Oryzias latipes: one gene and its partner. The protein of the gene in region 1 purifies or fractionates together with the protein of each later gene. This does not show direct contact. Links are inferred from orthologs where the notes say so. Each region holds a gene or a part of one and is shown in the gene's direction. Other genes may lie near its edges.

What was found.
Region 2: the proteins of flii (region 1) and lrrfip2 purify together in Homo sapiens (affinity purification with mass spectrometry; 3 studies listed by BioGRID and IntAct, with this or other methods). This does not show direct contact. The link is inferred for Oryzias latipes from reciprocal best matches to the Homo sapiens genes FLII and LRRFIP2.

What each region holds. Positions count from the first base shown.
Region 1 is NC_019866.2:18,081,500-18,085,838, reverse strand, and holds the start of flii (protein flightless-1 homolog), read left to right. Parts: upstream 1-1,509; 5' UTR 1,510-1,554; coding exon 1,555-1,617; intron 1,618-3,033; coding exon 3,034-3,144; intron 3,145-4,339. UniProt on the Homo sapiens protein: Is a regulator of actin polymerization, required for proper myofibril organization and regulation of the length of sarcomeric thin filaments. It also plays a role in the assembly of cardiomyocyte cell adhesion complexes.
Region 2 is NC_019873.2:29,719,880-29,724,023, forward strand, and holds the start of lrrfip2 (leucine-rich repeat flightless-interacting protein 2), read left to right. Parts: upstream 1-1,301; 5' UTR 1,302-1,504; intron 1,505-2,676; 5' UTR 2,677-2,710; coding exon 2,711-2,800; intron 2,801-4,144. UniProt on the Homo sapiens protein: May function as activator of the canonical Wnt signaling pathway, in association with DVL3, upstream of CTNNB1/beta-catenin.

The sequences.
Region 1 (4,339 bases):
AGATTTCATGTAATCCATGAACACCAGTGAAGATCACAAATCATTGAAGAAAATAGGTTCAGCGCCCTGTCTAGTGGGTCTAGATGACCCAACTCCAAAGGTTAAAGTGACTAGGATAGCACAAGGGTTAATACCTCAAGCTTTCATACATTCATGATGTCTCAATTTTTTAAAAAGATTTCCTCAAGATATTTGTGACTAAATGAAGCTCCTAGAAATAAGGCAAAAATGTTGAAATAAAAATAAATATAATCGATACAAAGTTTAGAAATGACTTAATGATAAAAAAAACATGAGAACAAAGGTAACCACAGAGGACAAAACATGGCACTGTATTAATATTTCTCAGACTAAAAAACGAGAATTTTATAATATTACAATATTTAACTCATACTTAGTTTTACTGTGGGAATAATCATGTACTTATTTTTCATTTATCTGCTTTACTTTGCTAGTTTAGTAGCTTCAGTATATATATGTAGCCATTTATGACTTTGGTGGCTACCTGCAACACTGGATAAAACCAAAAATTCTGTTCCTGGATTCTATTTCCAGAGATTATGTGACATTTGGAATCCTTCTGCCAAATACATAAGATCTCTGTTGTGATTTAGTCCTCTGCTTAACAATTTTTTACTATGGAAAAGAAGAGTGCTGAAAAGAAACTTCATTTTCAAATGTTTTTTTTGTTAAACTGGAAATGTGTATAAAATCATTAAAATATATCAAAATACAAATGTGTGAAAACGTATGGGAAATGTCAACAGAATTTCCAAATTCTGTGAATTTAGATATGTGGGGAATGTATACGTGTAGTGATATTTTCTTGTTAGTATGACACTAATGATTACCATAACAATATGTTCTTTAGCTTTTCTCGACTATTTGCTTGATTTAATTTTATTTTCCTTTTAAATTGGAACAGTTTTTAAAATGTTATTAAAGATTAAATTTTACAAGATGTAACCTTAAAAAAGCTCTGCAGTACTAAATTTGGGTTTACTTTGTGTTACCACTATTTGTTGCATTTGTTCTTTCTAGCTGCATTCACTTTATTTATTTGTTTGTTTGTTTTACCATATGTTAAGCTATTATTGTCATGTTTAAGGAAGATGATTTGGAGAATCAGGAATAAAGGGCCGAAACAAATCGGACTTTAATCTTAGAATTTTGAATTTAATCACAGAATTCTGATGGTCTGGTGGTCAGAATTCTGACTTTGATCTAGGAATTCTGAGAAAAAAGTCAGAATTCTAAAAGATTTAAGTCAGATTTATGCTCCTTGGCCCTTTATTTTATTATTATTATTATGACCCGCGGCAGCAGTAATTATTATTTATTTATGACTTATTTTCTATGGCTGTGATCTTTCTGCGTACAACTTTGTGGCTGCAATCAAGTGTGACCTTATAACGACAACGGGGAAAGGGGAGCTCTCCAAATAAACAAAATGCATTTCCTCTCGAGCCAGAAGGGGGCGGTAACAAATCTACAGTCTCTCCCTCCCGACCCAAAATAGTAGAGGTTTGAGCAGTTGACATCAGCGAGTCAGAAATGGCTGCCACCGGAGTTCTTCCCTTCATAAGGGGAGTAGACCTCAGTGGAAATGACTTCAAAGTAAGATTCTTTAAAACTACACTCGCATTATTTATAACTCTAATTTTAGTCATATTAAATGAATCCTAGGCTAAGCTAGTTCCTGTATGAGAATTGTTCACCTATACTATAGCAGGGAAAGTAGCTAAGACACTAGCATAGCTTAACATGATTGCGAACATTGGTTGGGCGTTAGCCTCTTGTTAGAAAAAACACTCCCGTGTGTGTCAGACACCACCCTTTGAGCAGTATGCGGAATTGTATTTAAGGCAGGTATGTTTGTTTAAACAATAAAATAAGAGCCGTAACTCTACAGGAAAACAGTTTTGAGTTGCTAGGGTAGGGCTACAGCACTTGCCACTCATCATCATACATATCACTACTACTCTGCTTGTTTAGTTAGCGTACTTTTGGCTAAGTGTATTATTGCTTAAGACATTCACTTTTGATCTAAATTGTTCAAATGTTTGGGATTAATTTAGAATCTTTTGTTAAAGGTGAATGTTGGCGCTTGTTGGGTTGTTTTGTTAACCCGGTGTTGACATGGCTTTAGTTAGTAAGTTCTGGTTTTCATCGAGTTAGTTTAAGTTAATTTAAACACAGGGGAATTGATCACCTCACCGAACTTTAGACCCGTCACACTCACAGCAGGTTAAGTTTGTATCCAAGCCCCGTTTAGGTTGATTATTATGGGATTGCAACACTGTTGTCAACAGTGTAAACTCAAGTTGTTGCTGTCAATCAGTGATCCTGGACTTAAAAAGAAATACTGAAATGGCAGGCGTTTACTGTTGTCACAAGGAAGACTTAATATTTCCATTTTTATTTAACTCAGTTGGATAATAATAAAAGTTTGACATCATGCTAACTTTTTTTTGAGCCTGACTCACCAGATTCTAAAGGAGTATTGGAACACGTCCGAATTTGCTGGCGAATAATCTTTTTGATGTGTTGTTTTTATTTACCTTTCGGCATATCCCTGCAGGACTCGCCAAAGAAATTCCGCTTTCATTTATTCCCTTCCTGACAGAACCCTCTATTTTAACCGGGCTATGGACTGGCACAGGGAGACCCAGACTTGGGCCCCTTTGTGGCTGCATAGTTAAGGAGCCGCGTTAAGGGTCTTGTCCAAGGACCCACACTGGATGAAACTCATCGCGATCCCTGGTTTCCCATGCGCCAGTCCTACGCGCAGCCAACCGAACCATCCAACCGCTAACTTTTTATTGTGTTAATTTGTTAAATTCAAGGCATTTGTCTGTCTGTAATGTTAGGAAATCCAGATGTCAGCATGTGTCATGCAGCTTCTGTGAAAACACTGCCAATTTTTATCTATCCATCTGTCCGTCCGTCCGTCTCAATGGAGTTATCAGATGTGTGTAAATCTGGAATGATTTTGTTGTGTTGGCAAACAAGTTTCTTTGCCTATCTCCACAGGGGGGTTATTTTCCTGAGCATGTAAAGTGTATGAGCAGCTTACGATGGCTGAAACTGAACCGGACAGGACTTTGTTATCTTCCAGAGGAGCTGGCTTCTCTCCAAAAGTTGGTAAGAAGATTCAAAAGGCTTTTGATGCTCCTCTGAAGTTTTTTTTCTGACCTGTTCAAGCCTCTCACATGTGTGCAGCTGGCAGTGGACTTTCTGTCAATATAAAAAAAGTGTTTTCTTTACACGGTTCGCTGCATATAGCTGATGATCATAGAAATGAAATTTACATTGTGTGAAATCTGAGCTTTAATTTGTCATCTAATGACTCTAATCTGCATTTTAAGAGTAAATTTACACCATATATTTATTAATTTACTTCTGAGGGATTCACATTTCGATAAAGTGCTTTTATTGAGAATGTTTAGAACTATATGTTGTTGATGTAAATTCACTGGATGCTTCATCCACATAGCAGTGAGTCTGGACACGGTGGGACAGTTGTCACACCCCAACAACACCCCAGCGTACAATCTTAAAGACTTAAAGACTGACTCCAATGAAAATTGTGTTTTTAACATGTTCCTGTGGCCATTTTTCATAAAGGATGAGGACATATTAAGAAAATTAGTATCAAAACTGCATTTCTGAGTATTTCTTTATTCACATCGTCATGAATTAGGAGCAGACGAAAAAATGGCATTTGAAGATTGTATTTGTGACGTACAAAAAATATGCAGGGTGGGCCACAAGCTCCCTGCTCTGCTCCATTCTGTTGTATCCACTTGTAGACAAAGAGATCCATCTTTTCCTTGTCCGTGATTATCATAATTGTAAGACGACTGGGAAAAATAGATCACAAGAAGATTGGAGTGGGACTTGAGGCAACTGACTGCAACTAAATGCCGTAATTATTAAGAAATGGCCCGCAACTAGCTCCCTAGCAGAGCGTCAAAGCCCACAGACACAGACGATCTCTGTTGTAATAAATAAGCAACTGTTGTGTTGAAGGGCTTCAAGGCTTTAAAATACATAAACATGACAAAGAAGCCCTTCTAGCTGCCCCAACAGGTACTTAATGTCAACCCATATTAGAAGTTCCCATTAGAATTGCTACTGATAACAACTTCTTTCTAAAATCATTGTAGTTTAGTGTATGACAGCTGTATAACCGGCACATTATATATTTGTCTCAAAGTGGTTTTAAATTGTAATTTGTGATTTTACTCTTAGTGATTACGTTTTGTTGTTGTTTTAATTTGTATTTTTCAGTAAAGATATTTGAATTACTTTGTCTATGAATTGTGTCACAAAAATA
Region 2 (4,144 bases), on another chromosome or scaffold:
AGGACAGTTTCACTGCAAAAATGCTCTTTTTTGAAATCTTTGAGTAAATTCATGTTCAGAAATCCCCCTGAAGAAAAAAACTGCAGGGATGGAATCATGAAAACAAACAAAAATTGGTCCAGAGGTTAGAAAAATGTCATTTGTATATATATTAACAGAGAACCCATGTTACATTGTTTATACATACTTTTCATTAAGTTTACCATTCTGAATAAATAGCTGTATTTATTCAGAAATACTTATATGAGACATACTACATAACATAAAAGGAACCATAGGATTGCATTTAGAAAACGTTTAAATCCTATAGTTAAGTCCTGCAGACTCACATCTGAGTTTCTCACCTTTTAATATTTTCCTGGAGCCTGCCTCAGCGCGAGGTTGATACGTTTGGTTTTTTACAGAATGATCCATCTTATATGTTAGAATTTAACACATCAGAACGTACGTAAACACATGAATCAGGAATTGGACTTTGCTGTATTTTTGTTTCCAGTAAATTGAAAATGACTGAAATTTAAAGGTTTAGTTGATCAAAGTATTTAAGAATTCATGAATGAAGCAATTGTCTGCCGCACCACAAAATCACAAGAACGAAGTGTTTCAATTTAAGGAGACATGATATGAAACAGTGGAGAGGAATCGGTTAAAGAAACCAAATCACAAATCACCTTTAAATAACTTGTTAAAAGAGCATGCTTCAAAAATACTGTCAACTTTCAAATGTGTTTGCTTTGTCCAAAGAATAAAAAAAGGGGCAAAAAAAAAGTTTTGTTCTTTCTGTTCATTTTCCTTTCTCTTTTTGAAGGTCTTGTGAAAATTATTTTGTTTTTCTTGTTTTATGAAATTGAAAAGAAAAAAAATAAAATCAGCCAAACAAAGGCTAAAATTATTACACCACATTTATAACAACAAAGCCATTTATAAACAATGTCAGAAAGGCAGTTACATTAGAAAATGTTTGTCCACAGTGAATTCTGGAAACGCAGAAAATAGAAATTATAATATAATTAGTTATAATCCTTAAGAAAAATGTATTGGGTAGTTGTTTGTGATGTTGGGTATTTGTAGACCCGTATACTTCATTAAAATGTCATTTCTTTAATAAGTAAAACGCCGATGATAAAACACATTAGCATCAAAAGTTCTGTTAAAAAGATTATGGTTTTAAAATCGACTTTTCCCTAAAAAGTACAGAGAAAAGTTGCTGCTCTGGTTCGTTTTCTCATTAAATTGATCAAAGGACTGTGCATCGAAATTCCGGATGGTCCGTGAACACAGCAACACACCCTAATTTTTTTTCCAACATCCGGGACTTCCCGACCGAAGGAGCGTGTGGAGTGGGTAAGGAGGGCAGCCGCGAGCGCTGGAAAGAAAGGCGGACTGATGACAGCTGTCAATGTGGACGAAAAATACCGCTAGCGCACGAAGACTCGGCAAATGGGTTTCCTCTGAACCACCGGTGGACGACAGTTGGGCTGTACCGGTCATCTTTAACGTAAAGGTAACGTTTGGGGTGGAAAACTGGACGGCGGGCTCAGTCCCAGTTGCCTTGTCTGTCAGGAGAGTGGAGGTTAGCCTGGCTAGCTATGCTAGCTCACACACAGCAGACATGAACGGTCAAACTAGGCTTTACGGTTAAAGCTATCGGTCAGTGTCGGTGACATTCATGACCGCAGGGAACGTCTAGACACAGTTTCTATACTAGAACGCGGTAGAATTTAGTCCCGGTACGTTAAACGGATAAACTTTTGAATCGGAATTCCATAATAAGAAGTGCTAGCTAGCGAGTTAGCTTAGCAAGTAGCTGGCTCTTCACAGTAACTGTGAAGGCAGCTAAATGTAGCCAGAAAACACAAGCCACGGTGCGGGGTTTTTTTTACTCTGTGACGTAGATGGAAGTACAGTTTTTTTAATTCAGTATTGTCCTTGTGATTTAAACATGAGGGTATAGAGGCAGCTTTGTTGGAGTGTGTGAGGAGGTGTGCGCCTCCCCGCTGTGTGTGTCGCTTCCATAGACCCACTAGTTTGGTTCAACAGTTGGGACAGAAATTCTGCTTTTCTTAGGTTTGGATCGCTCACTTGAAACCATTTTCACAGGGTTTACATCACACATCTGCATGATGTATTAAAGCTCAGATTTTTGACTCATCCGGGTGACTCTACCCCCCCCCCCCCCCCCCCCCATGATGTCTTCAGCTGTTTATTTGAAGTCGTCTAAAACACATTTCATCACGAGCTCTGCTGAAATACCTGCTGATCATTTCAGGCGTGACGGGTCTTAATGAACAAAGCCCAGCTTTAGTTTGATGTTCTGAGCTTCAGCAGCTCCTGGTGTTCCTCCAAGGCTGCTTCATGTCAGCCACAGCTGCTTATCAGACTCCGATGGGCTCCACACTCCAGGGACCGTCATGTTCCTGCAGGGAATGACGCCGTGTCAGCTCACCGGTTGCTTTCTTTGCTGACTCATGGGAAAATGGGGATCAAAATGATATTAAATGAGGTGTTTAAAGCAAAAGCACATCTTTCTATGGTTCCCTCGCCTGTGCGTAAAGCATACTCTAATGTTTAGGCATCCTATCCAACCTGTTGAATGAGTTTTTAATTCCCTGTCTGCATTCATCGTGAAGTATATTCAGTATAGGATAATGACACACAGCCTGGTCTCTTTTCCAGCCTTACACATATTTGTTGAAGCTTGAGGAACATCATGGGGACACAAGGCCCTGGGAGGAAACGCGCCCCTCTGAAAGACCGCTTCTCAGCAGAGGAAGAAGCTCTGAGTAGTATCGCTCGAGAGGTGAGTTATTCAGTCCCATTTAAAGCGTCAAACCTGCAATAGGTCTGCTGGCATTTTTGCTTTGTTGAATCAATACTAATGGGATTTCTGCAGCTTAAATGTTCTTCTTTAACCCTATCATGACGGCTGTGAGAGGCTTTCAGAGACTGATCGTGGAAGCACATTTGCGTTTTTATGTTTAGCAAATTCTGCATTTTACAATCACTATATAGATATTTGGGACTTTTCTGTGGAGAATAGAAACAATTACAGCTCAAGGTATCATGAAAACTCCTGACACCTTCAGTTATAAGCTTTTCTATGTTTTTTAAAACATTAAAACATAATTATTTTGCTTCTTCAGCTCAGTTTTACATGGAGGTAAAACACAAACCAGCTAAATGCCCCAGAAAAGGTCCATGTTTTCCTGTTTCTTTATTAGCCTCAGATAAGTTCACTGTGGAAGCCAGTTGTTGCTGTGATAACAAAATTTGACATGATGCTTTTTTATGTATGTATTGGCTGTTTGAGTAATGATTGATTAGACCTAATAGTGCAGCATTTTTCCCTCTCTGTGTGGCGTGTCCCCAATGTCGGCGTGTTGCTGCAGCGCAGACGTGGAAGCATGCAGAACCGTGTGGATGTGGTCAAAGCTGCAGTGTGACGCGCTCTTTCACGTGTGGGAACACAGGTTTTACCAGTTAGCTTTTGTTGTGACCAAAGCCATCGGAGACGGCTGGTTTGGACTGCAGAGGTTGAAATGTTTTTGTTCGGGAAGGAGAGAAGACAGGCTGAAGACGGAGGCTGGCTGGCTTGTGAGGACATGCCCTCAGATGATTCCATTTTGCCTTTCTGCAGGTCTTCCATTCCTTTGGGTTTTCCAGAGCGGGGCAACTGAAACAGAAAAACCTGAGTTCTTTTCTCCAGGCCTGAACTTTGTACAGTGGTTTGGTTTTTGCATTTAAAAGCAGCGATTGCCTGATAAGAATCCAATCTGTTCCTTTCAGAGAACATGGGATTGTGTTGGAAAGCTGCACAGAGCGCCTCATTCTTCAGCAGAACATGAACGGCTCCGTTTGCTCTCTTTATAGTCATGCAGGCTGATCATAGAAACATGAGTCATCTGACCCTCACAGGCAGCTCCTAAAGCTGAATCTCTTTGTGGAGCAAAGATTAGATTAACAGGGAGTTTGGGGGGGGGTCAGTGTAACCTGCATACCCTTCCAGCCCAGATGCATCTTGGTCACACTTGAGCGTTTGTTTCGTGGTTTGAAGTAAGGAGAAAAAGGTGCTTGGCTCCAACATCTGAGACCAAATGGGAGTTTCAGCCTGACTCCGTGTTTGGAGGTTTTAGTTTTAACAGTA